Lonchura striata: one gene and its partners. The protein of the gene in region 2 interacts with the protein of the main gene of each other region in a pairwise test. Links are inferred from orthologs where the notes say so. Each region holds a gene or a part of one and is shown on either strand. Other genes may lie near its edges. The genes, in order: MFAP1, KIFC3, ZGPAT and TRIM54.

What was found.
Region 1: the proteins of KIFC3 (region 2) and MFAP1 interact in binary tests that used the Homo sapiens proteins (3 or more experiments, as listed by UniProt). The two-hybrid records come from large-scale screens. The link is inferred for Lonchura striata from reciprocal best matches to the Homo sapiens genes KIFC3 and MFAP1.
Region 3: the proteins of KIFC3 (region 2) and ZGPAT interact in binary tests that used the Homo sapiens proteins (3 or more experiments, as listed by UniProt). The two-hybrid records come from large-scale screens. The link is inferred for Lonchura striata from reciprocal best matches to the Homo sapiens genes KIFC3 and ZGPAT.
Region 4: the proteins of KIFC3 (region 2) and TRIM54 interact in binary tests that used the Homo sapiens proteins (3 or more experiments, as listed by UniProt). The two-hybrid records come from large-scale screens. The link is inferred for Lonchura striata from reciprocal best matches to the Homo sapiens genes KIFC3 and TRIM54.

Annotation. Positions count from the first base shown.
Region 1 is NC_134613.1:24,430,374-24,437,751, reverse strand, and holds the start of MFAP1 (microfibrillar-associated protein 1), read right to left. Parts: upstream 3,010-7,378; 5' UTR 2,858-3,009; coding exon 2,779-2,857; intron 2,680-2,778; coding exon 2,460-2,679; intron 1,744-2,459; coding exon 1,611-1,743; intron 1,311-1,610; coding exon 1,123-1,310; intron 696-1,122; coding exon 587-695; intron 517-586; coding exon 356-516; intron 126-355; coding exon 1-125. UniProt on the Homo sapiens protein: Involved in pre-mRNA splicing as a component of the spliceosome.
Region 2 is NC_134615.1:17,416,555-17,423,464, forward strand, and holds the start of KIFC3 (kinesin-like protein KIFC3), read right to left. Parts: upstream 3,002-6,910; 5' UTR 2,952-3,001; intron 2,226-2,951; 5' UTR 2,196-2,225; coding exon 2,111-2,195; intron 472-2,110; coding exon 326-471; intron 1-325. UniProt on the Homo sapiens protein: Minus-end microtubule-dependent motor protein. Involved in apically targeted transport. Required for zonula adherens maintenance.
Region 3 is NC_134619.1:7,097,485-7,105,227, reverse strand, and holds the start of ZGPAT (zinc finger CCCH-type with G patch domain-containing protein), read left to right. Parts: upstream 1-4,743; 5' UTR 4,744-5,158; coding exon 5,159-5,802; intron 5,803-6,484; coding exon 6,485-6,618; intron 6,619-7,323; coding exon 7,324-7,482; intron 7,483-7,743. Other genes in the region: ARFRP1 (ADP-ribosylation factor-related protein 1), read right to left, coding at 1,594-1,664, 1,826-1,907, 2,506-2,588, 3,036-3,123, 3,459-3,551. UniProt on the Homo sapiens protein: Transcription repressor that specifically binds the 5'-GGAG[GA]A[GA]A-3' consensus sequence. Represses transcription by recruiting the chromatin multiprotein complex NuRD to target promoters.
Region 4 is NC_134605.1:113,724,008-113,731,505, forward strand, and holds the start of TRIM54 (tripartite motif-containing protein 54), read right to left. Parts: upstream 3,005-7,498; 5' UTR 2,919-3,004; coding exon 2,751-2,918; intron 2,324-2,750; coding exon 2,151-2,323; intron 1,832-2,150; coding exon 1,660-1,831; intron 1,584-1,659; coding exon 1,488-1,583; intron 1,371-1,487; coding exon 1,137-1,370; intron 933-1,136; coding exon 910-932; intron 838-909; coding exon 695-837; intron 356-694; coding exon 254-355; intron 116-253; coding exon 77-115; intron 1-76. Other genes in the region: DNAJC5G (dnaJ homolog subfamily C member 5G), read right to left, coding at 4,333-4,412, 4,958-5,111, 5,272-5,485, 5,715-5,827; uridine-cytidine kinase-like 1, read right to left, coding at 7,456-7,498. UniProt on the Homo sapiens protein: May bind and stabilize microtubules during myotubes formation.

The DNA of each region.
Region 1 (7,378 bases), on a different chromosome or scaffold from region 2:
GGAATTTGTATTTGCCCTTTACTGCCTTGTTGGTGATGACTTTACCATTGGCCCGGAGCTCAGCACGGCGCTCCTCCTCTGTCAGGTTCCGCATACGCTCGATCTCTGCCTTCTCCTTCTCCATGCTGGGTGGGAGAGAAGCTCCTGAGACTGTGTGTCCCCACAGCATCTCCCGGGAGAGAGGCTGTCACCAGCTAACACATGAGAGCTTACACATTTACTGCTAGGGAGCAAAGGCACCCCAAGGGTGGGCAGGAGGGACTCTGGGCATTCAGTCCAGCTGGGACCCTGCTGCCAAAGGGCAGCCTGAGGAAAAGGTGGGGTCTCAGCCTCTAGTCTGAGAGACAATACTTACGCTTCTCGTTCTTCGCGGTCTCGTTTGATACGCTTCAGCTCACGGACTTTCCAGGCCTCATACTCCTCCTCATCGTTCTCATCATCTGTATCGAGTGCATCCAGTGCTGCCAGTGAGCGCTTGTTCTCCTCCAGCTCCTTCTTTGCTTCCTCTTCTACAATCTGCAGTGAGGCCCAAGCTAAACTTGCTGCAGTGGCTGCCCCCTCCAGCCTCCAGCCCACCCCTCCGTACCTTAAGCGTGTACTTGCGCCTCTCCTCTGCCATCCTCTTTGCCTCCTGCTCCAGCTCCTTCTGCTTCAGAGCTTCTGCTTCTCTCTCCTGGACTGTGATCCGGTCCTTCCTGCAAGCAGGGCCATGACAGCCTTCAGCCCTCCCACGAGCCAGTGCAGTCGCTCAGCCTCTCACTGGCTCCCACACTGCAACTGCTTTCAGCCTTTGCCCTCTCCAGGGATAGGTCAAGTCCCAGGGCTCTCCCCTTCCTGGGTACTACCACGTTCTTTTGCCACTATATGGCCCTTGACCAAGAGCTCTGGTCAGACTCCACAGCCTGATGCCACAGCAACCCAATGCAACTGATACAGGGCTGTGGGTACAGGGATTGCTCCTTGCTCCCTAGCTGTGCCCTGCCAGGCTGTGACCATCCCATCCCACCCCAAGGAGGTCAATGGCTTCTCACAGTGAGAAGAGACCATGGCAGCAAGGTCTCCTTGGGCCCCAGCTTCTGACTACCACGATCCAGGGCCAGCCTACACACTTCCATCACCTACTTGCGAATAAAGACCGGTTTGAGACGTGGCTCCATTTCATCTTCGCTGTCCGTGTACTCCTCATACTCGGATTCTGACTCAGACTCTTCTCCAGACCGACCCTCATCTTCCAATTCCATCACTTCCATCTCCTCAGTTTTCCTCTCCTGTGCTCGCTGACGCATCATCCCACGCCGACGCTCAATCTCCTAACGGGGACAAGCACAGAGCAGTCAGAGGCCTGCCCTGCTACCACTTCTCTCTCTCCTGTGAAACACGTCACGTCTGCAGTGTTGGCTTTGAGAAGATGCACCTGCCTGTCTGGACGTGGCGTGGCCTCCCCCAGTGTCCTGTTCCATGCCAGAGGATGATAACTTACATGGTTAAGTCGTGGCTAGGTGTGACACTTGTCCAGATACATCAGACAGCCCACATATCCATGCAAAGGGCAGTTCCAGCCTGTGCCCTTCCAGCTTTCCTAGGCCCATTATCTGGCTCTGCAAACACACCTCATCATCAATCTCTTCCTCCTCCTCTTCACTGGTGTCCTCCCGTTCCAGGCGCCAAGCTTCTCCCCCCTCCACTTCTGAATCGCTTTCTCCGACCACTTCAGGTTCCACGATTTTGCGGTGCCTTGCCAGCCTGCAAGAGACCCCAGGTGATGCACAGCACTTGGAACGTAAGGGGGCTGCAGGAAAGTGACTGTTCACAAATCACTTCTAGCAAGGCCACAGTAAGCACTGGGACTGCCAAACATGGCCAGAATTGATATGTTCTCTACCAGGTCACAGTGCCTGGGCACTGCCAGCTCTTCCCTGTCAATGCTTCAAGGAAGAATGCTGTTCCAAATGAGAAGACTCCTTGTTAGTGGAAACAAAACCAACAGCAGCTCCATGGGAGGCAAACAGCACTTAGTGGTGCTTTTCTGCAGATGATGGAGACGGAAATATCACAGGCTGCAGTGAAGCGCAATCTGCGCAAGCACATGGGCAACGTGGTGGAGGCTCTCATCACCCTCACCAACTGAGCTGGGAGGCCATGGGCTGCCCAGAGTGCATTTCACGAGACACCATCCTTCCTTGCTACCCCGAGCTTCAGCACGCTGCTCTAATTTCTGTTTTGGTGCCTGTTTCTCCTACCATCCACCCACACACACCTGGACATGGACTGTGCCTGGCTGGCTCCTGGCTGGAAAGCAGCCCAAGGCACAGTGGATATGAGAAGTCACAAACGCTCCAGCACTGCCTGGATAATGTTCCCAGCTCTGCCCTGTGGAGTTTCTCCTTGCAGTCTAGAGTCCCAGCCCCCCGGCCCCAGATAGGCAAAGGGGGCTCAGCTCTTGTTGACCCAGCACTCACCGCTCCTCCACATCCTCAGCGATGCGGTTCTGGAGGCGCCGGAGCCGGGGGTCGTTGGCCAGTTCCTCCTCCTGTTCCTCGGGCTCGACCTCTTGCTCCTTCGCCTTCTTGATGAATTGGAACTCCTCGTCCTCCTCCTCCGAGGACTCCATGGGCGCGTAGTCGGGCCGCTTGCCCGACACGTACCGCTTCACCTTCACCTTCTCCATGGACAGCTCGCCTGCGGGTGCCGGCCGTCAGCGGCGGTCTCGGCCCCGCACCCCCGTCCCGGCCCCGCGCCCGCCCGGCCTCCCCGCCGAGCCCCGAGCCCCCAGCTCACCCTTCTCGTTGCGGACGGGCACGGCGCCCGCCGTGGACTGGATCGGCGGCTGCTTCATGAGAGCGCTGGGGACCGACATGGTGGCGGCAGGCGGGGGCCGGGCCGGGCCGAGCGGGGCCGAGCGGAGCGGAGCGGGGCCGAGCGGAGCCGAGGGGAGCGGAGCGGAGCCGAGCCGGGCCGGGCCGAGCGGAGCAGAGCCGAGCGGGGCCGCTGACAACGGCGCCTCGAGCGCTCACCCGGAACCGGAACCTCGGCCGCTTCCGCCGCCACCGGGACCGTGCCGGGGCCCGGAAGTGGCGCTGGGCCCGGGGTCGCTGCCGCGGGGACGGGCACCGGGGCTCGGAGCCGTCTGCCGTGGCTGCGTGTCGGCCCGGCGCGGGGTGCTCCGGGCCCTGCGGCCGGCTGGCAGGGGGGTCCCCGGTCGTTTCGCCATCCGCCTTCGGCCGGGAGAGGCTCCGTTCCCCCCTGCACGATGCGGGTTTCTCCCCGGAGGGGAGTGAGGGCGAGGCAGCGGCCGAGCGGCCATAGGACGGCGGGGGCACCGGCAGCGCCGCGATGGGGCTCTGCGGCTCGCCCGGGTGCGGCTCGCCCGGGTGCTGCTCGCTCCGGCCGCGTCTAAGCGGCGCCGGGGCTCTGCGGGCCCGGCCGTCCCGTGCGGGCTGCGTCTGAGCCGGCAGCTGCCGGAACGGAGCGCCCGGGGCTACCCGTAACTCGCTGAGCTGGGGAACGGCCTGCGCCTGGCAAATTCCTGTGCCGAACTGCCCGCCCAGCCTGAGAACTGCTGCTCGCTTTGGTGCGCGGTGGGGCTGCGGGGCTGTGCGGAGCCCGCTGCCAGCGCGGCTGCTCGGGGCAGAGCGGGGCTGGGTGTCCCTGGAGGCCAGGTGGCCGTGGCTGCTGCCCAAGCCGTGCCGTTCCTCCCTGCAGTGCGGCACGGCAGGCCGTCCGCCTTTGCTCCCGACGGCCGCAGCCAGCCATGACCCCAGTCTCCCTGCTCTGCCCGCTCCAGCCAGCTCCAGCAAGCCCCAGCGCTGCTGCCTGGCTCCCTGGCAGCAAGGACAAATAGCTCTTGCGTGCCCCCGGAGCCCTCGGCCAGCGCCAGCAGGGCAGCTGCTGCCGGTGGGGCAGCACCTCCACCTGCCGCACGGCAAGGCTGGGGGAGCTCCTGGGGGTCCCACTGGCGTGGGTGTGAAGTGTCTGTGGGGAAAGGCTGGGGCCACGGCTGCTTCTTGGGGGTTTCCCGTAAGCAGCTGGCTGCTGCCTGTGTCAGCAGCCGAGGTGTGTGAGGCTTCACAGTGTAGGGCGAGTGGCTGGGGTGGGATGTCCCTGTGCACGCATCCTGCCGCAGAAGATAACAGTTTCTCTTAAGTTGGGTAAAACTGCGTCACAAGCCACTGCAGCCACGTCTGCCACTTTCTGCTACCTTCTGCTGGCTTCTACGAAGAAAGGAAGAGGAAATCCTCTTTTATCTTCCATGAAATCTGCTTGCTGGCAGGGAAATTTAGGAAGCAGGGGGAGCGAGCCACACTTCAACAGTTCACCGGCAGTAGCAGAGCAGGTACTCTCGTGGGGTGAGGCTAGCTCTGGCAGCCAGGAAAGGCCAGGGCACATGTGCTTTTCCAATTGGTGGCTCAGCAGTGGAGCACAATCCATAAGGGAGTGCAGGGAAGTGTTTTTCTTTTGGTGTCCTTGGTCTGGCTGGGAGATGTCCCTCTGGCAGCATCTCCTGCAGCCAGTCTAGGGGAGAGCAGACCAAATTTTTGGCAGCAGTACCCTAGTCTGGTCCCAGAAGTGGCTGCAGAGGTCCCAAGGCCACGGTGGAGGCTGACTCTCCTGGGAAACTCTCCTTGGCCTACAGAGATGCCAGGACTGGGCAGATCCAGTTGGATGACCACAATCTGGCTGGGCTGCAGGTGGGGGTGGCTGCCCCAGGCACGGGGACAGGTGGGCCCAGTCCCTTGAAGCACTGGCTGGCTGCACCTGGCATCCTGACTCAGTCCCTGCTCTGGTTCCAGGGAAGGGTGTCCCTGCAGTGCCCTCCATACAGACCCATTTCTGCTGCAGGCAGAAATGGTGCAGTGAAGCTGGTAGTTTGCCTGAGCAACTGAGGCATCGATGCCTTTATAATCCTACAGCACCTACAGACTGCCAGGAACAAGCAAGAGTGGATCTGTGTGCTTGTTGGTGTTCTTCTGGCCTTTGCACCCAGGTGACAACCAGAGCAGCCACTCTGTGTTTATGTTGTTAGTGTTGGATGTTGTCACAGTGTGTTCCCACCTAGTAAGTCCTGTGCCACATGGCAAGGAATAAGCTTTAACAGGACTTGAAGGAACAGTTGGCCACAGTACCCAAGAGGAAGCTTGAGGATTGCACACAAAGCAGATACTGTCCTATTCAAGTGAAGCTAAACTAAAGACCTGGGCAAACAGGGAAATACCTTCAAGCCTGGCTCAGTTCTGTGGCTGCAGGTGCTGGAGGCCATGGCAGGAAGATGCCCTTCACTGCAAAGTCTCTTTGCCCCATGTTCCCTTTGCCCAGTGCAGTGGCTGCTGACATCTTGGCCCTGCCAAGTCTTGGCAGTTGGCAGATGGGCAGCAATGGGGTGGGAGACACTTTGTGAGGCTGAGCCCCCCATTCCTGGGGTGGTGTGAAGCCATGGAAGGCTGGCAGCTGTTCCATGAGTGAGCCTGGAGCATGGGCCAGTCTGCCCCTCAGTGCTGTGCCAGCCACACCTGCTGGTCTTTGGGCTGGGTTTGCTTGTGAGCACCCCCTCCCCAGCCCACCGAAGCCCACGGGCACATGGCATTCCTACTGCTGGGCTGCAGGTGGGCTCCCAGCCTTGTGTTCCTTGCCCGTGTGTGTGTGTGTGTTCCTGTGCGTGACACTACTGTGGAACGCCCCAAGTGCCACAGGCACCTTATGCACTTAGGCTGGGCAAGGAAATCCCTGCACCTGTACAGCAGGTGATGACAGGGTGCTGTCCAGGACAGGTGATGGAAGGGCACATCCCGCAGCCCAGAGCAGGGGCAGAGCCAGACTAGGCTGTGGAGCATTACGACTGCTGCTGACAAAGCCTAAGGCAGATAGTTACAGAACCCACCTTGAGCAGCTGCTGTTTGTGTCTGCAGCTGTACTGCAAGGACAAGGTCAGGGTGTTTGGGCTGGGCCTGTGTCCCTGCATGTGCCTACAGTGAGATGTTGTGTCTGGGAGTCAGAGATGAGTAGAGCTGCTGGAGCCAGCTGGACCCTGTAGACCACAGGTCCTGCCTGGAGCATGGCAGTCCCAGCTCCCTCAGCACTAAGAGACCTGCTGGTAGTATCCAGGGTGGAGGGGACAGACTGGGGAGACTCCAGGGAAAGGGACTGCAGCCTTAGCTTTGGGATAGTGTAAGGATGTGTGCAGGGAGAAGGCTGGACAGCACAGCAGAGGGACTGTGGGCTCACCTCTGCTGGCAATGGGGCAGAGCAGGCTGCTCTGTGCTGGGTAAACCTTCTGCTATTGATTTGGTGCATCCAGAAGTTTCTGCCTGCTGTTGCTGCCTGTTACTTGGTTTTCTCTGCTGGTTTCTCTGTGTGGGCACTCTGCCCTTTACTTGCTCACTAGCTGCTTTCACCTGCAATCCTCCAGGTCCCCCAGGCTGGGATGTTTGCAGGCAGGAGTGCAGCCCTATGCTGCTCTGTTTCCCAGGGAGCTTAGGCAGATGGGCAGTTGTATTCTGCAGGTTGAAAGCTAAAAATGAACCTGATTTTTCCATGAAAGTGGGTTTCTGTTGATTGTGTGTGCAGCCAAGCCACACCAGTGTGCTCAGAGAAGGGGAGTGTGGGGGACTCTCCCACCCCCAGTGAACAGTTTGGCCCCTGTGGCCATAGTGAGAACCCCAGGGGATCCTAGCAGGGCAGACCTCACAGGATGGGACAGTACAATGGGCCGGCAGTAGTGCTGCCAGTTTGCTGGGCACTGCTGCATGGAGCGGCTGTTTCTGCTGTCTCCTGGGCTGCACTGGTGCCTCTGAGCCACAGTCCCCAAGTCTGAGATGAGGGTTTGTGCCTGGCAGATGTGCGGCAGTAGCTGTTTCACCCCTCGCTGCATCATGGCTCGGGGCAGAGAGGGGTGCCTGGCAGCCCTTGTGAGGTGAGTGGGGCACGGCAGCCGCTCAGATCCCTGCTGGTGGCCTCTCTCTGCTCCTTCTGCAGCTGGGCCCAGGGGCTGCTGGCACAGCGGGTCTCCTCCCGGTCTGTGGCGATGTGCCACCTGCAGCCAGGTGCTTCCCGACCCTGGTGTTTTCTTTGGCAGGGCTGTGGGGTCAGCGCAGGTCCCAGGCCAGTGGTTTGCGTAAGAGCGTGGTGCTTCCTGCCCGCCTGCCCTGCCCCGCAGCACCGCCATAAGCCCGTGGTGACAAGGGCCCTTTGTCAGCTCCTCATGTCACAGGGCTGCGTGCAGCAGCTCCTCACCTGCCTTGGCACGGCTGCCAGCGCCCAAAGGAGGCATCCAGAGGTAAGGTTCATGGGTGGGGCAGGCAGCCTGTGTCCCATCCTCCCTCCCACCACCAGTCCGGACTCCAGCTCCGACCTGCCTCTGTCCATGCATTCTCCATATAACCCC
Region 2 (6,910 bases):
CTCACGGCACTGCATTTTCTTATCACACCTCTGCCTTGAGCTCTCCTGCCAGCATGACCCATAAGTGACCCAGAAAATGCTATTCTGTTATGAACACTGTTCCCCATTGATGCCTTTTCACTCCCCAGAGATGCTTTTCCCTCCCCAGCCAGGCAGCAGCTCTGCTTGAGGCACACGCTGCTGGGGTCCAGGCACAAACTGGTTGTGGTAAGGGAGGGAACCAGTTGGTTCCCACCTGGATGGCCCAGATGGGTGCAGGACATCCTCCCCATCACCCTAAAACTGCCCTCCCCATACATGCCATGGCTGGCTCAGCGTTCCTCACCTGGAGAGCCCGGCAGAGCCCACGGGGGTTTGCAGTGTCCGGCCAGCTCACGCTGAAGATTTTATGGTGAAGCAGTGCTGGCAGCAGAGGAGCCCGGGGAGAGGCGCCTGCTCCGCCCCCAGTGCCGAGCCTGTCCTGCCCACGGCCTGAGATGGAGCAAAGAGCATCACTGGATCCACCTGGGAGCCCAGCACAGACACAGCCTTCGGCCAGCTCAGCAAACCCACCTCCTCCTCCTCCCTGCTGCCGCCACCACACCGGTGTGGCAGACACAATGCATGACTTTTATTAAAAATGTTAATTATGTTAATTAGAAAAATTAGCCCTCTGGGGGGTGGAGACTGGTTACCAATGACTAGTAATGAGAATTCAGGGTGTAGCTTCCGACTGGCCTCTGCAGGACCAGATCTGTCCCCCACCAGGGATATCCCAGCTCTACCCCTTGCCAAGCTGCTCCACTTCCTGCGATCCCATCTCGGAAAAGCTGCCAAAGCCAGCTTGCATCACCAAAACCAGACAGTCAGACCCTGACGGTGTCACCTCCCTCCACTGACCCCAAATATTTCCTTCATTTGTCAGGCAGCCAAACCCAAAAGCAGCCAGGGCAGCACTTCCCTGTCCTGCTGAGCCACACAGAAGGAAACAGCAACTCAAGGAGCTTTCTCCCATGGTTGTGTCCTGCTCTGCTACAGGAAAAGCAGCTGGCAAGGGCTACATCCCACTGCTTGGGGACCCTGTGCCCCCCGCACCTATCTGCCACAAGTGCTGCCACCACTGCGGGTGGCCAAATCTCTTCTCCAGCTAACAGAGAGAAAATCAATTGCTCACAAATCAAACCTCAAAAATGCAGCCTTTTTCCTCTAAAGCCACCTGGAGGAAGTTGGGCTGGAGGTGGAACTGATGTCTGGAGGGAGAAGTGCCCTTATGAAGTTAGTCCATCACTCTGGACTTCTTCCCAGCCTCTAATTATCCATAACATTTTGCACACGCCATGAAAATTGAGCATTTCCAAAGTGCCAGCAAATGCCCGGATAACAGGTGATGAGCTTCCCATCCCTGTATGGGCAGCAGCAGCCGTTGGGCAGAGAAAGAGCTGAAAACCCTGACTTTGGAGGCTTTGGTGCCAGCTGGCATTTGGCTGGACTGGCCCAAGTGCCAGAGAAGAAGCTGCGTCCAGAGAAGTGGCTGCCAGCACAGGGGGATGGCAAATGCTGAAGCCAAAAGCAAAAGAAGTTCAAATACTGGGGTTTCAGCCTCCACCTTTGCCAAAACCCATTCAGCACCATCGGTGAGGGAGGTGGGAAGGGCTGTTTCCCAACAAGCGGTTGCAGGTTGGGACAAGCAGCTGCCCGCCTGCCTGCAAGGCAGCTCAGCCTCCACAGAGCAAAACTCGACTATACTCACCCATGGGGTCCATGCGCCAGAGAGGGATAAGGAGCCCTTCCAAGGAGCTGAGGCTGGGAAGAGGCAAAGGGCCCACATTCAACCTGCCATGCAGATCACTATTTTCTACCTCACATGTTAAATTTTAACCTTTCTCCCTAAGTTTCCCGCTCGGAAGGGCCAGGAGAGAGAGGGAGGCAGCCCTCTCTTCTCACCAGCACGCTGCCCAGAGCTTTGTGCCTGCTTCTGAGTCCCCGTTTCTCAAATCTTGACCTTCATCCGGAAAGAAATGTGAAAAATGCAGGCTGGCCTGTTCTCAGCCTCTCCTTCCCCAGTGAGCAGGGTGTGAGTGCAGCAGGCTGAGCCCCAAGGGGCAAGGACAAGGCACCGTGCTGTACTCACCGTCCGGGGCAAGGTCCTTGGTCTTCCAGGCGGCTCCGGCGGAGGGCCCGGATCCCAGATGCCAGGCGGTGCGGGACGTGATCATGGCACGGGGGTCCCGAGAACAGCGGCACCTCTGCGGAGAAGCGCAAGGACGGACATCTCAGCCGGTCTCAGTGCCCAGCTGTAAATCCCAGTGGGACGTTCTGGAGCAAAACACGACGGTAACACCGGCTCCGACTCCCGAAACCCGCAGGAAGTTGCATCAATCCCGTTTTTTGCTCCCGAAAAGGCGACAGCCCCGGGCTCCCTCCGTGCTCCCAGCGGATGTGACATAAACGGTGTCTGTAATTAATTTACTCATTCCTGAAGCCTCTCCAGGCCCCTCCTAACCTCGGGCTGGGGCTGCCTTTAGGGAGTTAGGAACTCCGGGACCACGGGCAGCCCTGCGCACCGCACCCACCGCATCCCAGCGCACACAATGCCCTGCACTGCACCGCTCCGCTCGGCACCGCCCGCTCCGCTCCGCGCACACCGCTCCGCGCTCGCCGCACCTCACCGGGGCCGCTTCGGCGGGGAACGGGACACGGAGCCGCCCAGCACACCGCGGGGTTCCTTTGCTCCCGACCCGCAGCGGGGCGGTCCCGGCGCCGGTGCCAGCGAGCAGCAGGCGCAGCCCCGCTCCCGCTCCCGCTCCCGGTGGCGCCGCCCGCCGCGGGCTAACGGGGAGCCGCGCTCTCGCCGCGCCGCGGGCGCTCCGTGCCAGCGCTCCCAGCCCGCAGACAAAGGGAGGGAGCCCCGGTCCTGCCCGGTGCAGCCCGGCTCCCCGGTGCCGCCGGTGCCGCCCCGCGGGGCCACTCACCGGGCGCGGGGCGGCGGCAGCAGCGGGACACACGGCACCAGCCCCGGCCCGTCCCCGCCTGCCCGGCACTTCGGTAACGGAAGCGCCGAGCCCCGCCCCGCACTCGTTGCCACGGAAACTCGTGAAACCCCCGACGGGCGGCGGAGGCGGGGCTCCCCTTCCCGCATCGGGCAGCGGCGGCGGCTGCGGGGGCGCGGGGCTCCGGAGGGCTCCCGGTGCTTCCCCGGGGCACCCCGGCCCCTCTGGCCGGAACCCTGGAAGCACAGGGGAGCCCCGGTGTTCCCCGTGCCCTTCCCAGGGCGGCCCGCCCCCACCGTGCTCCCCTGACCCTCCCTTGCTATAGTGCTGGGGGCTCCCGGTGTGTCCCCGGTACTCCCCGTGTGTCTCTGCCATTCCCACCCCATACCCGGTGCTCCTCAGGGAGTCCCAGTGTAACTGCATCCCACCTGTGCACCCCTCCTGGCATCACTCATCACGGTGACCCTGGGGGACCATGGGGACAGTGGTGCTGATTACCTACACACCGAGGACCCGCCTACCCAAACTATGCCCTCACACTCTGCCGCATCCCCACCGCTCCCAAGCATCCACTGGCAGCAATGCCAGCTGGCACCCCAGGCTCATCTGTCCCAGGGACACAGATATCACATGAAAAACAACCTTTTCCTAACCCAGAGGCATTGGAGAAAACAGCCTTACATGCCAAGACCTCTACAAAAGCCCTGGTGTCAGAAAGGCAACAGAAATGCCTGCATTTTTAGGGTGTGATTTGTATCTGCCTCCCTGTATTGCACACACAGCCCTCACAGTAATGGCTGGTTTGGGTGACACAAGTCACTCATGACTTGTTCACAGTTATGAACTGGCAGTACCGGATATTTCCCATGACAAAGCTGCACTTGGCATCCTTGGTGGTGGCAGCGGGTGCCCCGTGCTGATGGCTCACATCCACATGCCGATGGCAGGCTGACCTGTGTCCCACCAGGGTTTGGGGATGCAGGAGTGGCTGTCCCTTGGGAAAGGAGGGTTTGATGCCAGCCCTGTGCTGTGCTCCCCGCAGACCACCTGCCCTCCCTCAGTCCCAGCCTTTTCTCACTCCTGACCAGGTTTGGAGCAGGATTTAGCCTTGTCCTTTCATCCTGGACTGTCCCTCTTGGACATTGTCTCAGAGACCCCCCATGAGACACTGCTCCACTCCCTGCCACGAGCCAGCCACATGGTGAGGGGTGATAGGGAGCCACTGACATGGGGAGGACAAGCTGCTCTAGCCACTCACCCCAGAGAAAGGGGGCTGTGAAGGATCACCTCCGTGTCCCCATGCCCCTGGCACAGAAACTTGCCGCTGAGAAGCCAATGCCATCCTGGCCTGGCAGCAGCCTGCAGCTCTGCACTGCATTTGCCATTCCCCTGCAGCCAGTGAAAACCTCCCAGCCTCCTCCCCCTCCCCCTTCATCGGAGGTTTATTGGCATTCCCAGCATGGATCCTGGCATGGATGGATAGAGGTGTGTGTGCCTATAGACACACATCCATATGTACATACATTTACCCACAGAGGCCCTAAGCAGTGTCTAATTTGCATGAGTAGCCCATAATCTGTGCAGCTCCTGAGGCTGGTTTGGGGATAATATTGACACACAGGAAGCTACTTTCCCCTTTCCGATAGCAACTGTAAAGCCATATCATTGCTGACTTCATTTATGAGCTGTAAAGAGTAAAACAAATGTTTATGTAATTTACTTTAACTGGTAAGTAATTTCCTGGCTTTTGAATGCTTCAGGTTTTTAATGGTATTGCAATTATGCAAAGCACATAAGTTGTATCAATTACATCAAGTAAGTCTACATTAAGCAGGCACATGCATGAATTCCCCAGTTTAGAAGAATAACTCAATGAATAAGCATGGAGCAAAATCTGAGATGCAGGAAGGGTTCTGTGCCAACAGCCCTATTCAAATAGTCACCTGTGAGCATTACAAAACCCACCCCTCCCAGCTGCTGGGCTATTTTTGGCAAGGACAGCATGGCTCTCTGGCAGGCCCAGCACACCAGGAACAGGCTCTCCAGCATCCAGAAGTGGGGTTACTCTGGCTGCACGCCGCTGGCCAGGTACCAGCTCCCTTTCCCTGCACTGCGATGCTCTTTGGCTCAAAGGAGCACTGTGAATCCCGGGGATGCCCACTTGCTGCTGGACATTCTGGGGGGCTGTGGGCAGCACACATGGGAGCCTGTGCAGGCAGCAGCACCCTGCTCGTGCCCCTCTCTCTGCAGGGATTCACCCATGCTGGCTGGGATCATCTCAGCTTGGTCCCCCAGCGATGCTCCCATCTTCCTTTCCTCGGCTGTCTCCGTGACCTGAGCAAGCACCGGCTGACGACATCGCTGGAGGTATTTTTAGAAATGCTGCTTTGCAGGCAGGCAGAAGAACAGCAACGAGGAGCAGGGCTGGCCGCCAGCAGCACCTCTGCCAGCACCCAGCAGGTAGCAGGGAGGCTCGATACATCGATGACCATCAGTGCTAAAACATCTGCCCTGCGTGGACAGCACCAGCCTGCCACGGGCCACCCTGCCCGGGGACAGTGACCTTGGCTCGGGTCTAGCTCTGCTTTTAGCCCAGCCTGTGCTGTAGCTGAAAAGCATCGCTGCCATGGTGGGGTGAAGCCAGGCAGGTTAATTTGCCTTTTACTTGGATGAAGGGAAGCTCCAGAGATCGAAACACATCACTGAGTGGGGCCCTTTGTATTGGGTGTTTGTTCTGCCCTGAGCAAATATTTAACCTACATTTGTAAGACAGCTAAAAAATCCCCCAAATGCCAGAAAATATGTAACTCCTCCTACTCTCCCTTCGAGCAACCTGATAACCTGGTCTAGGAATGCAGGCAGGAGCTCACCTGATACCTGAAACCTATTGTATGTTGGGATGCTCCCTGTAGAGAATTCCCACCAGAAGCATCAGACAGCGTGAGAATGTGTCCCCAGAGCACAATTAATTATAAACCAGCTCATTATTCTAATTTTGCTCCTCCTTGAGGAGGTGAGGGGATTTCTCGGCTTTGCTGAGGCATGGTTTGCCAAGCCAACATGAAATGCTTTGCAAAGCAGGAACGAGCCCCCTGCATTCCTACATTGCCATTTCACACAATGACAGGAGTTTTAATTAAGTCTTAGCGTGTTCCTGAGAAATTTAATATTCATTTTAAAGTTCCCTAGTTGCGTTAATTCAACCCCGAGGCTCTGATCCTTGCGATAGGGTTATGTGGAACTGGGTGGAGAGCAGGAGCAGGGCAGGGGTGTTTCAAGGATTGCTGCCAAAATCCAACACACTGGGATGCTGCTTCAGCTGGTGGTGGTGTCTCTGCAGCTCAGCACCTTGGCCAAGCCCCTCAAAGCCAGTTAGGCTGTGTTTGGGCAGCCCAGGGCAGCCCAGAGCCTGTCCACAGCCAAGGATCTCTCTGCTCCAGCTGGGAGCTGCTGCATGCCTGGCTCAGCTCTGCCTGTGTCCCCCATGCAAATCTCCTCTATATCAAGCAAATGGCAAAAGCAACACCTTGTTCAACCTGCTGCATTCAGGCAGACAAAACTTCTGCTGTGCTGGCAGCCAGGGCAGTGCCATGTGAGATGTAGCAGCCTTTGGAGGGGTGACTCTTCCACCCTTCCGAATTTCTTATCTCAGACTTCAGTGCACACCATCTAACCAAAGCTCAGCCTCCTTCTCCCTTTTACCTACCTTTTATCTTTGTCATATTTTTCAGCTGGCTTCAGGAACAACTTGGGTTTGGCTTTAATGCCTGTGCCTTGCCTAAAAACCAGCGCTGGGCTCATCCTGTGCCTCTCTGGCTGCTGGGGAGTGGGGAGCTGCTCTGTGGGAGGACTGCAGCTCACCTCCTAAGTCATTAATGTTTCATGGCATTAATCAACACAGGCTCCTGCTTATAAAGCGCTTCTTAGAAACAAGGCTAAGA
Region 3 (7,743 bases), on a different chromosome or scaffold from region 2:
TTTGCTGGGTCCATATCCAAGATCATTCTGTAGGAGTGAACCTCTAAATACCCAGTGCAGGTATTTCTTACAAACAAGCAAAGCAAACCTCCAGTGGGTTTAGCTTTGCTAATCTCTTGTAGCTCTACAACTGCATGAAGGCACTAAGTCTGTGGGCTGGTCTTGGACCCTCCAGAGGAAGCAAGAAGCCAGATTTGCTTTTGAAAGGCTGTTCCAAATACCTCTTTCTAGCAATTTAAAGAAGCCAAATTGTTCAATTATTTGTCTTTAGTCTGGTTAGAGTGTCAGAAAAGCCAGTGTCTGCAGCTTGTAAGAAAATATGTATATACAACCAAGAGAGAAACTGGAACAACCTTCCAGGTCACTTGTTGGACTTTATCCTCAACAAGTCAAGGCAAGAGTGCAGGCTGTTCCCTGCAGAAAAGCTGTGGGGTTGTACAGAAATGTGAGAGTCAATATTCTGGTTTCCACAGAAAAAAGACAGACCATTTCCCTACATTCCAGAAACCACAGCAAAGTCAGGACCATAAATCAGGAGTTCAGACTTGATCTCATGCTTTTACATGGAATTACATTTCTCTTATTTCTAAGACTAGATAATCTAGATAATCTAAATGAATTACATCATCCAAAAACCAATCTGTGTTGTACTCATTAAAACCTGCTCTAGAGCCAAGTGATTTCTATGGAAGCCTCACGTGTTTCCACAAGTGCAACTGCTCGGACAAGTGTAAAGTGCAGAGGAAAGAACCTGAGAAGTTTTTGCATCCTTTGGAACAGAGACTGAGCCCAGCTGCCAGGTCTGCTGCTCCAAATCCTACTGCGAGCCTCTGGCTCCATCTACAGACGAGTCACTGCAGCTGCACTCCTGCAATTCCAGGTACAATTTCCAGGAGGAAACCACAAAAAACACCACTACCACCTTGGGTACTGTCTTCCTTTTTTCCATGCTGGGGGAGGTAAGGATGGCCCAGGATGTGTCACCTAAACACCACACCACCCACAAACTGCCAAACCCAAACCCTTACAGTTTACCGTTCTGTAAAGCTTTATCCAAAGCTTTACAGTCCTGAATACACTGCAAAGAATTCAAATTATATTATCAGAAAAGGAGCATTCCTTGTCCTTGCCATTCACTGTTGTCACTGATGGAATGCTCTACAACAAACTATTAAACAGATCTTATCCAATTATGGGGAAAGGATGATTTGCTTCACATACATCTGTTGCGCTATTCCTGGGTTTTGAAAGAGCAGCATAAACAAAGTGCACTAAACATTTTTTTCTGAATAAACAGGAAAAAACAGCATCAATATAGGCAGTCACACTACATAAAAAACCCACTATAGCTATGCATTTTCTTCTGTTTACATAAAGAGTTCAAAACTATGTGCCTGTAGGAAGCTCACTCATGGCACTGAAAAAGGGCTGGAGGAGAAAGGAAAAAAATACAACTAAATTCAAAGTAATTATTTCAAGTAGTAGGAAAGTACCAGAGGATCAACTCAGGACTGTGGAACAAATTTAACATGAATGCATAGTTCACCTTTCCAAGGCTTATTTGCTCATTTACGTAAATCCTCCATATTTTACCTCTACATCCTGCTTGTTGGCCAACACCAGAATGGGAACCCCTTCCAGAGCTTCACTGGTAATCATCTTCTCTACAAAGGACAGAAACAAAACCAGATTTAGCCAGTTCTGGAAGTTGTACAAATGCCTGGCACAGATTCTCTGGACAGAGGGATGAAGCCAGAAGCTCCCTCTTGCATTACAGTTTCATTTGATACAACCTTCCAGGACAGTTTGGTGACACTGTACTTACCAAAAGCTCTTTTGGACTCGGAGAGCCTCTCCTCATCAGTGGAGTCAATAACATAGATCACCCCGTGAGATTCAGCATAGTACTGGAAGGAGAACACAGATATTGGTGCCAATTCTCTCCCTGATTTGATTTTGGTACAGTTTTGATACATGTGGAGATCAACCAATTAGAGGCAGCTGTATCCACAGTGTGCCTTAACAGAATGGAGGCACACAGCCTGTGCTGCCTGTTCTGTTTGCAGGTCTGATCAATACACCAGGTGGAAAAGCTCACCTGTGTCCCCCCAAAGCTCATCTCTATGGCACAACCCCAGATCTGGGTTGGTAATTGCTGTCTAACCAGTAATGCAAATATCAACCACGGAAATAGTGGAATTTCTGAAAAAGTGTTACTGCTAAATACTTGGGTTATCAATAAGCCTGTGTGATTACCAAATGATTTTAGTGGTTCAGTTCTAAAAGAACTAAAAGAAATCACAGAATCACAGGATGGTTTGTGTTGGAAGGGGCCAACCATCTCATTCCAATCCTCTGCCAGGAGCAGGGAGACCTCCCACTAGATCAGGCTGATCAGAGCTCCACCCACCCTGGCTTTGAACATTTCCAGGGATGGGGCAGCCACAGCTTCTCTGGGCAAGTTGTATAAATCAAATAAAAATAAAACAAAACCACATTTCTAACCTTGTCCCAAAGTGACTGCAGCTCCTCCTGCCCACCAAGGTCCCAGAACATGAGCCGAGTTTTGCCAACATCAATAGTTCCAACTAGAAGGAAGGAAGAAAGGGCAATCCAATGAAAACTGTAAAGCACAGACACCTGCACAGCCCACTCAGAAATCTGGGGTGGGACAGGCTTGTAGGGGAACAAATCACAGGCAACAGCAGAGCAAAACCTGCACGGAGTGATCACAAATATAGATCAGTATCTGTGCAAATAATTCCAGAATTGGGCCAAGGAATGAACTCTGGGGAAATATAGTTTGAGGACAGCACTGAAATAGGATACCTGAAGTTTTAATACTTTAAGAGTTTTTCCTCCTAAGCTAAGAAAGTCTATTTTATTATCTATAAAAAGACTTGGATAGTTGGGAGATAAAATCTCTGCACCCAGGAACTATTATTACCTTCTGAATTCTTAAATATTTAAAACAAAAAACAGCTGTTGTCTATCTATGCAAGAAAGCTGAAAAAATTCCATGTGGATTTACTCACTGTTTAAGCCTACAGTGGTTGTGATTTTGGACAAACTCATCCCTTTGTAGTTCTTGTTAAATCGGGTTTTAGTTTGTTCAAGGAAGGTCTGAAAAAGAATAAGACAAAGTCAAACATTTTACTGGCTCTTAATTTCTGCCCAATCCTGCTAGAGCAGATAGTGCCCTACCTAATTTTGGATAAACCACTCTTCTTACTCCCTATTTTAGCAAGAAAAGAAGGGATCACATGTGATTATGGGATTACCAAAGCCTCAGCCACATCCCTCCCTGAAAGCTTGTACTAAATTTAAGTAATGAGGAAAAGTTGATTGCTTGGTGTGACATCACTAAAGTAACTCAGGATGACCCTTGCTGGAAGATTTATCCCTGGAGGATGTTTAGGATTGTGTGTGCCCTCCACGGAGTGATAAACAGCACTTACAGTTTTACCAGCATTGTCCAAACCCAGGATCAGGACACAGTACTCATCTCTCTGGAACATGTATTTATAGAGCCCTGACAGCAGCGTATACATCCTGCTCCTGCAACAAATGCCAGGAAATCAATTAACAAACAGCTTGTTCCCAAAAGCCTCTCATGCCACAGCACAAGTTTTTCCCGATGCCAGACAAACAAACGATGTTACTCTTTCATCAGTACCTCTCATATTTAGGCAATCCCAGGAAAAATCAGAGATCTAAGAGAGATCATGAAAATAGCTCACAATCAAATTTGGGGTTTAAAGGGGAACTGAGGAAGGACTCAAACACCTCTTGCAGTAAATGTAAGACCCACAGAAAATGAAGTGGGCTCACACAAATACAAAGAGCAGGTATTTGGAGCAGGGATCTACAGAAGCTCAGAGCTGGGTGCGCACACAGAGGCACAGGGATGCAGGGAGCACTGGCAGCAGGCGCTGCAGCTGACTCACGGGCATTGCAACACCCCTTCTGTTCGAACACAGATAAAGGGAACCTCCAGGCACAGCCTTTGAGAGGCAGCTGCCTCTAAGCAAGCGCGTGGTTAAACAATCACTTTGAAGTCCAACACCATTACCTAAAGGGAAATAAAAGCGTTTCAAAGCAGGAATCGGATGGGGGTTTTACAGTAAGGGAGGACAGGGCACGAAGGGGCTTCAGTCCCACAGGTACCGGGGCCGCCCTTGGCCCCCAGCTCCTGCCGTGCCCCGGGCAGGGGGAGCCCCGGCCGCTCCCCTCTCGGGACAGCCACTGACCCCGGGACAGCCACTGACCCCAGGCCAGCCCGACCGCCGGCCTGCTCCTCCCTAAGACGGGAGATCCTCCATAAGATCCGGGATTTCTCGCCCTTTCCCTCCCTGTCACAGCCAGTGACGGCTGAAGGAGATCACCGGCCCTACCGCCATTTCCCCCTAATGGCCCCGCGTCACGTCCCGGGCCAGAGACAGGTCCCGGCCCGAGCTCCCGAGGGCAGCGGGCGAGGAAAGAGCCTCGAGCCCGAGCCCCGCGGCCCGTCACCTGATCCGGTGCCGGTGTCAGCGCCGGAGCTGGAGTCGCCCCTCACGACTCCCCAGCGCCACCAGCCACCGCCATTTCGCGCCCAGGACACTGGGAAATGTAGTCCTGTCGCCGCTGCGGTGGCGGTGCGGATGGTGTCTGTGGACTACAACTCCCGGAATGCCCAGCGCCCGGTACTGCGTGGGTGACGCGCTGCGAGCGCAGCGGAAGTGGGGGCGCTGCGGCCGGAAGAGGGGTGTCATGGCGGGTGCCATGGCGGCGGCTCGCCGGGACTGAGGCTGCTGAGGGCGCGGTGCGGCCGCCGAGGGGCCAGTGGCGGCTCAGGGAGGTGCCGCAGCTCTGGGGCTGAGGGAGCGCCCAGGCTGCGGGAGGAGCGGTGCCGTGCGGGGGCCCGGTGGGCGAGAGTGGACTCCGTGGCGGTGGAGGGCAGGGCCAGGCCCGGCCTCTCCTCGGACTCTCCCGTCTCCTCTTGTCGTCTGTTTCCAGCAGGAGCATCGCCCTGGGCATTTCCGAGGGAAAGAGCGGGACGGCGGGTAGATGTCGCTTCTGCAGGCGAGGACTTGTTATCCCAAAGTACTTGAGTAAACTCTGAATGTTTTGAGTTCGTGGAGAGAACGCGGGCAAAAGCGCCTTTGTTGTGCTGAAAATGGATGAAGAGAGTCTGGAAGCAGCGATCCAGACCTACAACGCCCAGCTGGAGCAGGTGGAGCTAGCGCTGGGGGCGGGCCAGGACCCATCGCAGCAGTCGGACCTGATGCAGCTGCAGGAGGATTTGAAGCAGCTGATAGAACTGACCGAGTCCAGCCTGGTGGCTGTGAAAAAGAGCAAACTTCTGGCCACTCTGGACACAGATGCCTCCTCCTCCTCCCCAGCAGGTCTCCCAGGGCAGGATTCCCACCGGGAGAGCTCTACCCAAGATGAGGAATACGCTGCTTTTAAGGAAGCCATTGCTGGGCTTGGAGCAGATGAGGAGCCTGCAGCTGATGGCAACGAGATCTCCTCGGAGAGAGAGGGAGAAACGGGGGATAAACCCAAATCCAAGTGCAGTGAAGAGGAGGAGGAGTCTGAGAGGGAGGAGGAGGAGGAGGGGTTGAGCGGGATGAAGGTCAAAGCCCCCTACTACAGCTCCTGGGGAACCCTGGAGTACCACAATGCCATGATTGTGGGGACAGAGGAGCTGGAGGACGGCAGTGCAGGGGTCAGGGTGCTCTACCTGTACCCCACCCACAAGTCCCTGAAGCCCTGCCCCTTCTTCCTGGATGACAAGTGCAGATTTAAGGAGAACTGTCGGTAAAGAGAGAGGGGTGGGAGAGGCCTTGTCGTTCAGAGGGTTAATCCTCCTCCTCAAGTGCTCTGTGGCTTTCTTACCCAGGGAGATTGTGCCTTAGTGTTTTTAAAATGTGCTGTGGTGAGCAGTGGCACCAGTTTGGCTGCTCTCTATAGCTGATGCACAGATGAAGTGGAAAATCCTGTGGGAAAGATGCAGAGATGTTACATAACTGAGTGGCTGAATTAACGACTGATGAAGTATTTTAAAACAAAACACCCAAGTCTGTGGGTAATGCACACATGGCAGTTGCACAGGGAGGTTGTATAGGCTCCATTTTTGTGGATCTTCACCAGGATCAGCCCCAGTGAAGGTGCTGGGCTGGAGCTGGGCTGAGATCCTCGCCTTTGTGAAGGTGCTGGAGCCCTGCCTGTCTCTGATCCTGTTTATCCCCATAGTCAGGAACTTTTTAATTGGATGTGTCACTAGCAAGGAAGTTTAATTCTCTGGGGTGAGACACATTCTTTGTACCATGACATAAATAACATGTTTAAAGTGAAACATGAACAACTTTATAATTACAACAGCACGTGGTCACACCTTCCTGATTATGGTGAAGGTTCCTCACCTCTGACACTCGTGTGCATTTCTTTTGAGGAAGGAAGGGATTTTCATTTGAAAACTCCTGTTCCTCCTTCCCTGCAGGTTTTCCCATGGTCAGGTGGTGTCCGTAGAGGAGCTCCAGCCATTCCAGGAGCCCGACCTGAGCAGTCTGGGGGTGGGCTCAGCCTGCCTGGCCAAGCACAGTGATGGGATCTGGTACACGGCCAAAATCACCGGTGAGGGGGGCAGGGGCTTGCCCAGGGGGAAGGTGGAGGCTGAGGCTTATGTGGGTCTGTAACTTGGCATTGTGGTTAATGACAGAAAAACATAAACTCTGTGGCAAGATCTTGACCTAGCTGAGGAAACTGTCTGAGTTTTGTGAGGCTAGAGAGAATTGGCTGGGAAACAGGAGATACAAAGAGCAAGAATGTGGAAAGGAAATGACTACGAGGTCATTAACTGCTCCAGGGAAGAGGGAGGGACTGCAGGAATTTACATGTATAGTAGGTGAGAATGGCAGTAATCTGTCTTGTTTAAACAAAAACCAGGGGAGCTGGCCCTGCCCAGCAGCTGCTGATACAGGCCTCCCTCTGTCTTGGGAAGAGGAAGGATTTATTCCTTCTTTCCATCTTTCTTTTAACTGTTGTTAAAAGTCAGAAGGGAGCAAGTCTAACTTCTTTTTAATTCTATTTCTCAACAGCCCATTTTTTTTTTATTTGTAGAGATAAACTTTTGGGTATCAACAGAGGAATTGTGGAAATAGCTTTTCATTGCAGTGAGTGCTTCCCCCTCCCAGACAGAAATAAAAATCACAGATTAAACCCAGAATTTTTTAGAACTATTCCTTGGGACTCCCCCCTGTCCTGTGTTGTTCTGCTGGAGCTGACTCTGCTTTAGCTCCCTGTGTGCTGCAGCTCCTGTCCTTGCTGTGCCCTCTGTAGATGTGGACAGTGGTTACTACACGGTGAAATTTGACTCCCTGCTCCTCAAGGAGGCCGTGGTGGAAGGGGACAGTGTCATTCCACCCCTGAGAAGTGAAGATGCTGCTGAATCTGGCGAGTCTGATGAGGACAGTGTGGATGATTCTGGTTATGCCAAAGGTAAGGGAGTGGGGAGAATGTGAACAAAAGTGACTTGGGATTTTGTTCTTCTTTTCTCTGGGACTGGCTGACTGTCCTGGAGCTCTCACTCTGAGTGTCTCACCTCTGATGAAAGAGCACATGATCTCTTTATGTGTTCCTAAAAGATTAAGAACAGTAACTGGCTGTTATGCTATAACTGCAAACTAAAATCTTTGTGCAAATCCCTGGGCTAATGAAGGCTGGAGAACTTCCTACAAGTGGAAGAAGAGGGTGTGATAT
Region 4 (7,498 bases), on a different chromosome or scaffold from region 2:
ATCCCCACTCCCAGCAGGTCTCCTCTGCCCCACGGCACCCCATGGCCGTGCCCATCTCACTCCCATGAGGTCTCACCATGGGGAGAGCTCGCTGGCTTCTGCCTCGGCCCCACATCTGCAGCGGGAGAGAGGGAGCAAGAATGAGGCAAGGATGCCCCAGCACCCTGAAGGACACGTGCTGCCACACGGAGACCACGGCACAGCCGAAGGCTGGCACTGGACACAGCCCTGGGCAGTCAGGGCAGGCACTCACCTTCAGCAGCTTCGGGCACCTCCAGACTGTCCAGCCGGTCCTCGTCTGCTGCAGCCTCACTGCCGTCCCCAGGTCCATCCCCCTCATCCTCACCCAGGGGCTCTGTGGGCAGGGGACAGCTCAGGTGGGACCTTCCCTCCCTCCCTCCTGCATCATGGGGATACACTAGGGCATGCAGGAGGGAGGTGATGGAGCAGGACGCTCCAGGATGGACGTTCCTAGGAGGAATGTGACCAGCCCAGTGTGGGAACCAGGGAGAGCCTGGGCAGGACTGACCCTCCAGGGCCCCTGGGTGGAGCTACAGGTGAAGGTCACATCCCCAGTCCTGCGTGGGATTCCCACACAGGGCATGTGGTGAGGGGGGCTCCGCCTGGGGCTCTGGGCACCCCAGGCAGTCCCAGCACCCCCTCAGGACAGCAGCAGTTTCCCCAGTGCAGGCACCTGTCTGGAACTCGATGGTCCTCAGCATCTCAGCCACATAGTCCACGTTGATGGAGAAGTGGTCCATGTTCTCATAGCCAGGCTCAGGGCGGCTGCTCATTGATGCCTTGGACATGTCTGTGATCCTGCAGGGCAGAGACACCCTGGGAGCTGCAGGGTCCAGCACCCAGAGGGCCACCAGCCAAAGGTCTTTTCCCTCCATAGTCCCCACTCACTTTTTCAGGAGTTCCTTGGAGTGCTGTGAAGGAAAACGAGGCGGGATCAGTGTCTTCTAGACATCACCCCCACCACAGGTGGGGCACATCCAGGGGCATCCACAGATCCTTTTGGGTGAGCACAGCCCCCCGTTTAGACCTGTGAGCAGCCCCATGCCCCTCAGGGAACACCATGGCAGCACCACACAGCCCCCCTGTCCCTTCTCTCCCTGCTCCCCTGGCAGGACCTGCAGGTACAGGGCCATCTGGGGCTCCTCCATGGCCTGGATGGCTGACTCCACCAGCTTGGAGGAGGCCTCCAGGTGGTCTCCGTACTGGCGGATGAGCCCACGGACTCGCTGCAGCTTGGCCTCCTGCTCGGCTGCGATGCTCTGCAGCAGCTCCTTCTTGCGCTCCTCCAGGATCCCGTAGAGCGCATCAAACCGCAGCCCCACATGCTGCTTCTGCCGCCGGCCGTTCTCCTGCGGACAGAGCCAGGGCTGCGCCGTGTCCCCCCAGCACAGCCCCAGGGCTGGACACTGCCAGCGCACCACATCCCCCCACTGCCACAGCCCCGGGCCAGAACCCTCGGTCCCAACCTCGATGGTGTGGCAGATCTCCTCCATCTGTGTGATGATGGCCTGGATCCGGTCATTCCCCGCCACCAGCATGGCAATGCCATCGCTGAGCTCGCTCTGGCAGGAGAGGGGCTGGGTGTGAGGGTGGCTGTGCAGGCACTCTCAGCCCCCCGAGACCCCAGGGTCCCCCCACCTTCTGGCGCTGGTAGACGGCCGGCAGCGGGGCCACCTCGCAGTCCTTGTGCGCCCCGAACACCTTGCAGAGGGAGCAGGTGGGCACCTCACAGCGCAGGCAGTAGATGTTGATCCGCTCGTCCTCGTGCTCCTCGCACATCAGGTGCTGCTCAGCCTTGGCATGAAGGGGTCTACATGGCGGTTTGGGGTATCAGGTAGACACCTTGGCCCCAGAGGCACCCCAGCTTCAGAGACAGCACCAGCCCCGGGATCTGCCCAGCCCTCAAGACACCTCTGGCTCCCAGGGACCCTTCAGCTGCAGGGACACTGCTGGCAGCAGAAATACCGCTGGCCCTGGAGAGACCCGCAGCCCCAGGGATATTCCCTGGCCCTATATGGACCCCATGGCTCCCCAGTTCCTGCTGGGATCCCACCCCGAGCCCTCTCGCTGGGTTTGCTGTCACCCGCAGGTCTCGCCCTGCCCGCCCCGGGGTCCCCACGCCTCCGGACCGGGCCGACTCCTGCTTGTAGATGTCGATGATGTTCTCCACGAGCAGGTTCCGCTGCAATCCGTACACCCCGTGCCGGTCTAGCACCACCTCGTGCCGGCAGGACGGGCACCGGAACCGCCCGCCCGACGGCACCGCGCTGGAGCCCCGTGACTGCCACAGAGGGTTGGAGGCCTGGGGGGGTACGCGAGGGGTCACGGCGGCGGCACCCCGCACCCCCGGCACCTCCCAGCCCCGCGGATCTGCACCCCACAGCCCCCGGGACGCGCCCGGGCACGGCCATGGCACGGAAACAGAGGCGGAGACGGGCAGGAGCACGGACAGGACACGGGTGTGGAGACAAACAAGGACTCCTACACGGGCTCTGCTTCCCGTTCACCGTCTCCGCCGGCCGAGAGTGGCACCGGGCACAGCCCAGCCGGGATTGCCGGTGCCGGTGTCAGACCAGGCCCCTCTGCGAAGAGGATCCCGGTGCTCTGGTGCCGCCCGCCCCTCCGCCTCGCTGGCCGGGGATCCCGGGATAACGGGGCCACCACCCGCCGGACTGGGGTCCTAATGCCTAGGTCCCGGTGCCTCCCCGCGCCCCACCGGCGGGTCCCACCTGGAAGACGTCGTTGGCGCACTTGCGGCAGAGGTTGTGCTGGCAGGGCAGGATGACCACGGGCTTGGAGAACATCTCCAGGCAGATGGGGCAGATGAGCTGCTTCTCCAGGCTCTCCATGCTCCGCGCCTCCGCCAGAAGCGGCTTCAGCCCTACCGCGAAGTTCATGGCTGCGGTCCCGACCCGGCCCGGCCCGACCCGGCTCTGTCTCGCGGCTCCGCTCCGGCCGCCCGGTGCCCGCTTTGTTTCGGCCCCGGCCCCGGCCCCCGGCGCTAATTTTAGCCGCCCCCGCCCCGCCGGGGCCGCAGCTGTCGGCGGCGTCGGGTGACACTGAGTCACCGCTCCTGCCCACCCTAGGGACCGGCTGGTCCCGGGACCCGCTGCGCTTCGGGACCCGCTGATCCCCTGCCCGGGAGGAGGAGCGGCCGAGGCTCCGGGGACCGGGCCTGGCTGGTGCAGGGGTGCAGGGCTGGCAGTCATGCTGAGGAGTATGTGTCCCCCAGCAGGGCTGGGGGAGGTTGGGGTCCCGCAGATCCCACAGCCCAGTGCCAGCCCCTCCGAAGAGCAGGGTGGAGGGGCTGGAGCCAGGACACCCCCATCCTCACTCACCCTGGCACCCTGGCTATATTTAGGGAGTGAGGCAGAGCCCATGCAGCTGCGGGCAGTGGCAGTGACCAGACATGGGAAGAAAGTGCAAGCGGCTCACAGTGTCCCCCTTGGTCCCATCCCTGCCAGTCCTAGCCCTCCGCAGGAGAGCGGGGCAGGAGCAGGGGCAGTGCCGGCAGGGGGGAGCAGGGCTCCAGGATGGCAGCAGCAAGGAGAGGGAAGAGCAGAGCCTGCGGGAGCCAGCAGCAGGGGACAGAGCGGGACCCAGGTGGGTGACAGGAGACCAGTGACATTCACTACACTAGACATGACCATTCCACACAGGACGTGACCTGCCTACTGCACACCCCAGTTAGTCCCCACAGCACCCTGCAGGATCCATGGGCACAGCCCCCAGCATGGACAACACCAGGCAGAGGCACATCCTACCACCGACGGACAGAACCCAGGCACACACACTCCCCTCCCGTCGGCCTTTAATGGTGCCCACAAAAACCTAGACAAACCCAGAGGGCAGAGGAAAGGGGCACAGACAGGAGCACCCCAACTCCACAGCAGCGTTTGGCACCCAGCACCCAGCGGGAGGGCTGCAGGGGGGCAGCGGGCTCAGCCCAGCCCCAGAGGTTACAGTGCTAATGGTCTCGGACGCGCTTGGCTCCCTGCAGAGCTCGGCCCGGAGCGTCCCTGCTCGTGCCTGCTGCTTGCTGCCCGACCTGGGCACCGGCAAGGCACTCAAGGGGGCCATGGCAGCATGGGCTCCAGGCCACTGCCACCACCAGTGCTGGGGCATTGCCCTGGAGCTCGAGCAGGGGCCCAGGAGCCTGTGCATTGATGCTGGCCAAATTAACCTGAGATTATATCCCTCCCGAGGCTGATGAGCCAGTCTGGGGGGTGGGACCGTGGTCCCAGAAAGTGACAGTCCCAAAGGAGAATCCCTGCCCCGAGTCCTCAGGGAGCCGGCGGGATGGGGCCAGCCTCAGGCATCACTCCTGGTGCTGGCTGGCAGTGGGTCCGTGCTGGCAGGCGCGGGCTGTGCTATAACAGGGATCTGAGGATCTGGAAAGGAAGAGCTGCAGATCAGTGGCTCAGCCCCATCCTGTGGTGCCAGTGAGCAGGAATCTCACAACACTGCCTCAAGGGCCCCCACAGCCCAAAGCCCCCATACCCCTGCCCAGTGCAGAGGGCCATGGGAGTGCCCCGACCCCAAGGAAACCTGCAGGAGTCACCCAGCCCCACTGACACCAGTATGGCTGGTGCCAGGGAACAGCTGGCCTGGAGCACAGCTGCTCTTCCCGTGCTCTGTGTCCCAAAGGGCACAGGCCCCAGGGTCTCTAAGCTTCAGGCCTGTTCAGGGGGCCTGTGTCCAGAGGGAAGGAGAAGGTGTACCCATGGCCCGTGCAATGTCTGCCTGGCACTGTCACTGCCACCAGCCCTGACCCACACAGGAAACACCAAGGGCTGGCTGTAAGAGCTGTGACTAAAACCAACCCAACATCTGAGCCAGAACTCTGTCCCCCACACAAGATGGAATAAGGGGAGATCCCAGAGCCCCCACCAAGCAAACACAGGTGCTCCTAGCCACTGGCTCCCGCCTGACTTACCGCTGTCCTCTGCACACATCTGTGCCTCCAGGTCCTTGGGGTCCACATACTTGTAGGACTCATCCTCCTTGGGCGGGCAGCACGTCCCACAGCAGAAGAAGCAACAGCAGCAGCAGCAGCAGCAGGTGAGGGCTCCACAGCACAGCACCAGTGCCTGTGTCAGGGACAAACGTGCTGTGAGCTCACCCAAGTCCCTGACCCATCACAGCAGGGCTAAGACCCCACTCAAGCCACCAGCCTGCCAAACCGCTGAGCCAGTGACCCGCCAGCCCCGTCACGCCAGCCCCACGGACACCGGACGATGCCGGGCTCACCTTGAACCACCACTTGGACATGAGGAAGTAGTGCCGGACGGCATCGTCGCCGAACTGCTCGGCCACGTAGAGGCCGAGGGAGCCGTACTGGTCATACAGGCGGCGCTTGTCCGCGTCGCTCAGCGTGGCGTGGGCGCTGTTGATCTCCTTGAACCGCTCGGCTGCCGCCGGGTCATCGGGGTTCTTGTCCGGATGGTACTTGAGAGCCAGCTTCCTGTGGGGTGAACCGGGGACCCCCGGCATGGGCTCACAGCCTCGCTCCCCGGGACAGCCCACGGCCCCGGTAGGGACCCAGGACCCCCGGCACGGGTTACAGCCTCGCTTCCCGGAACCGACCCTGACCGCCGGGACGGCACCGGGACCATCCGGACGAGATCCCGGCCGCGCTCGCGGGACGGACCCTCACGCCCGGGCTCCCAGGGACCGCGCGGACCCCCCCGTACCGATAGGCCTTCTTGATCTCCTCGGGGGAGCTGCCCTTCTGCAGCCCCAGCACGCGGTACAGGCTCTCCCCGACCCGGGACAGCTTCCGCTGCGGCCGCGGGGGCTCCGCCATGGCCGCGCCGAGGGTCGCGGGGTCGGACGGGACGCGGCACCGACCGCCACGGCCCCGCCCCGCCGCCGCTTCCGCCCGCGCCGCCGCCGCTCTGCGCAGGCGCCGCCCGCGACCCGGTACAGGGCACGGCCCGCCCGGTGACACCGGTACAGGGCACGGCCCGCCCGGTGACACCGGTACAGGGCACGGCCCGCCCGGTACAGGGCACGGCCCGCCCGGCGACACCCGGTACAGGGCACGGCCCGCCCGGTGACACCGGTACAGGGCACGGCCCGCCCGGTGACACTTGGTACAGGGCACGGCCCGCCCGGTGACACCGGTACAAGGCACGGCCCGCCCGGCGACACCCGGTACAGGGCACGGTCCTCCCGGTACAGGGCACGGCCCTCCCGGTGACACGCGGTACAGGGCACGGCCCGCCCGGTACAGGGCACGGCCCGCCCGGCGACACCCGGTACAGGGCACGGCCCGCCCGGTGACACCCGGTACAGGGCACGGCCCTCCCGGTACAGGGCACGGCCCGCCCGGCGACACCCGGTACAGGGCACGGCCCTCCCGGTACAGGGCACGGCCCGCCCGGTACAGGGCACGGCCCGCCCGGCGACACGCGGTACAAGGCACGGCCCGCCCGGTACAGGGCACGGCCCGCCCGGCGACACGCGGTACAGGGCACGGCCCGCCCGGTGACACCCGGTACAAGGCACGGCCCATCTGGTGACACCCGGTACAGGGCACGGCCCGCCCGGTGACACCCGGTACAGGGCACGGGTGACACGCGGTACAGGGCACGGCCCGCACCACCTGACCCCGGTCCGGCGGCAGCAGGAGGCGGCACTCGGGGATCGCGCTGCTCCTTTATTGGTACAAAACGGCGGCGAAGAGGTGGTGAGGGCACGGCCGGGCCCGGGACGGCGCGGGTACCGGGGCAGACCCCCGCCCCCGGGATTCCCTGCTGCCGTCGGTGGTGGGGCCGAGGGGGGGGGGCAAGGCTGCCGCTGCCCTTTGGAAAAAGAACCTGAGCAACAAGGGCAGCACCGGGGACACCTCACCACTCCCTGGTCACCAGCAGCACTCTGCACACTGAGGATGGGACAGCACCGGGAAGGCAGCCCCGTGACAACCCCCTCAAGTCCCGGGGCCAGGGATGGAGTGTGGATTGGCAGGGACGGGGTGAATCTATGAGGTCCAGTCCCTGATGTCAGAGGGTCCCACTGGAGCTGGAGGCCGCCCTCAATAAATATAAATAAATATGGATTCCAGGCACAGAGCTCGCCTGGACTGGACCCCATCCCCCTCTTTCCCTGGGGAGAAGGTGAGCACCCCTCAGGCACAGCCGCAGGGAGGCCACCACTCCCTCTGGAGGCACCACTGGCCCAGAGGCAGGGCTCTGGGAGCAAGGAATGTCCTAAATATCCCCTCTTCGTGGTCCGAAGGAGAGGCCATCCCTCTCTTCTCCCTGGGGAGGACTGGTCCTTTGGGGCAGAGGGAGACCAGTAGCAGGGGCTTGTCTGCAGGTCCAGAGAGCCAGGGGCTGGCAGGTGGGCACAGCTGGCAGCTCAGGGCCTTTCCTGGGGTCAGGGATGGGTGCCAGCCCTGCAGCCAGCCTAGCCTGTGGTCCTGTGGCCAGATCAGCAGTCCGTGCTGTCATTCTCACACCAGGCCGAGGGGCCA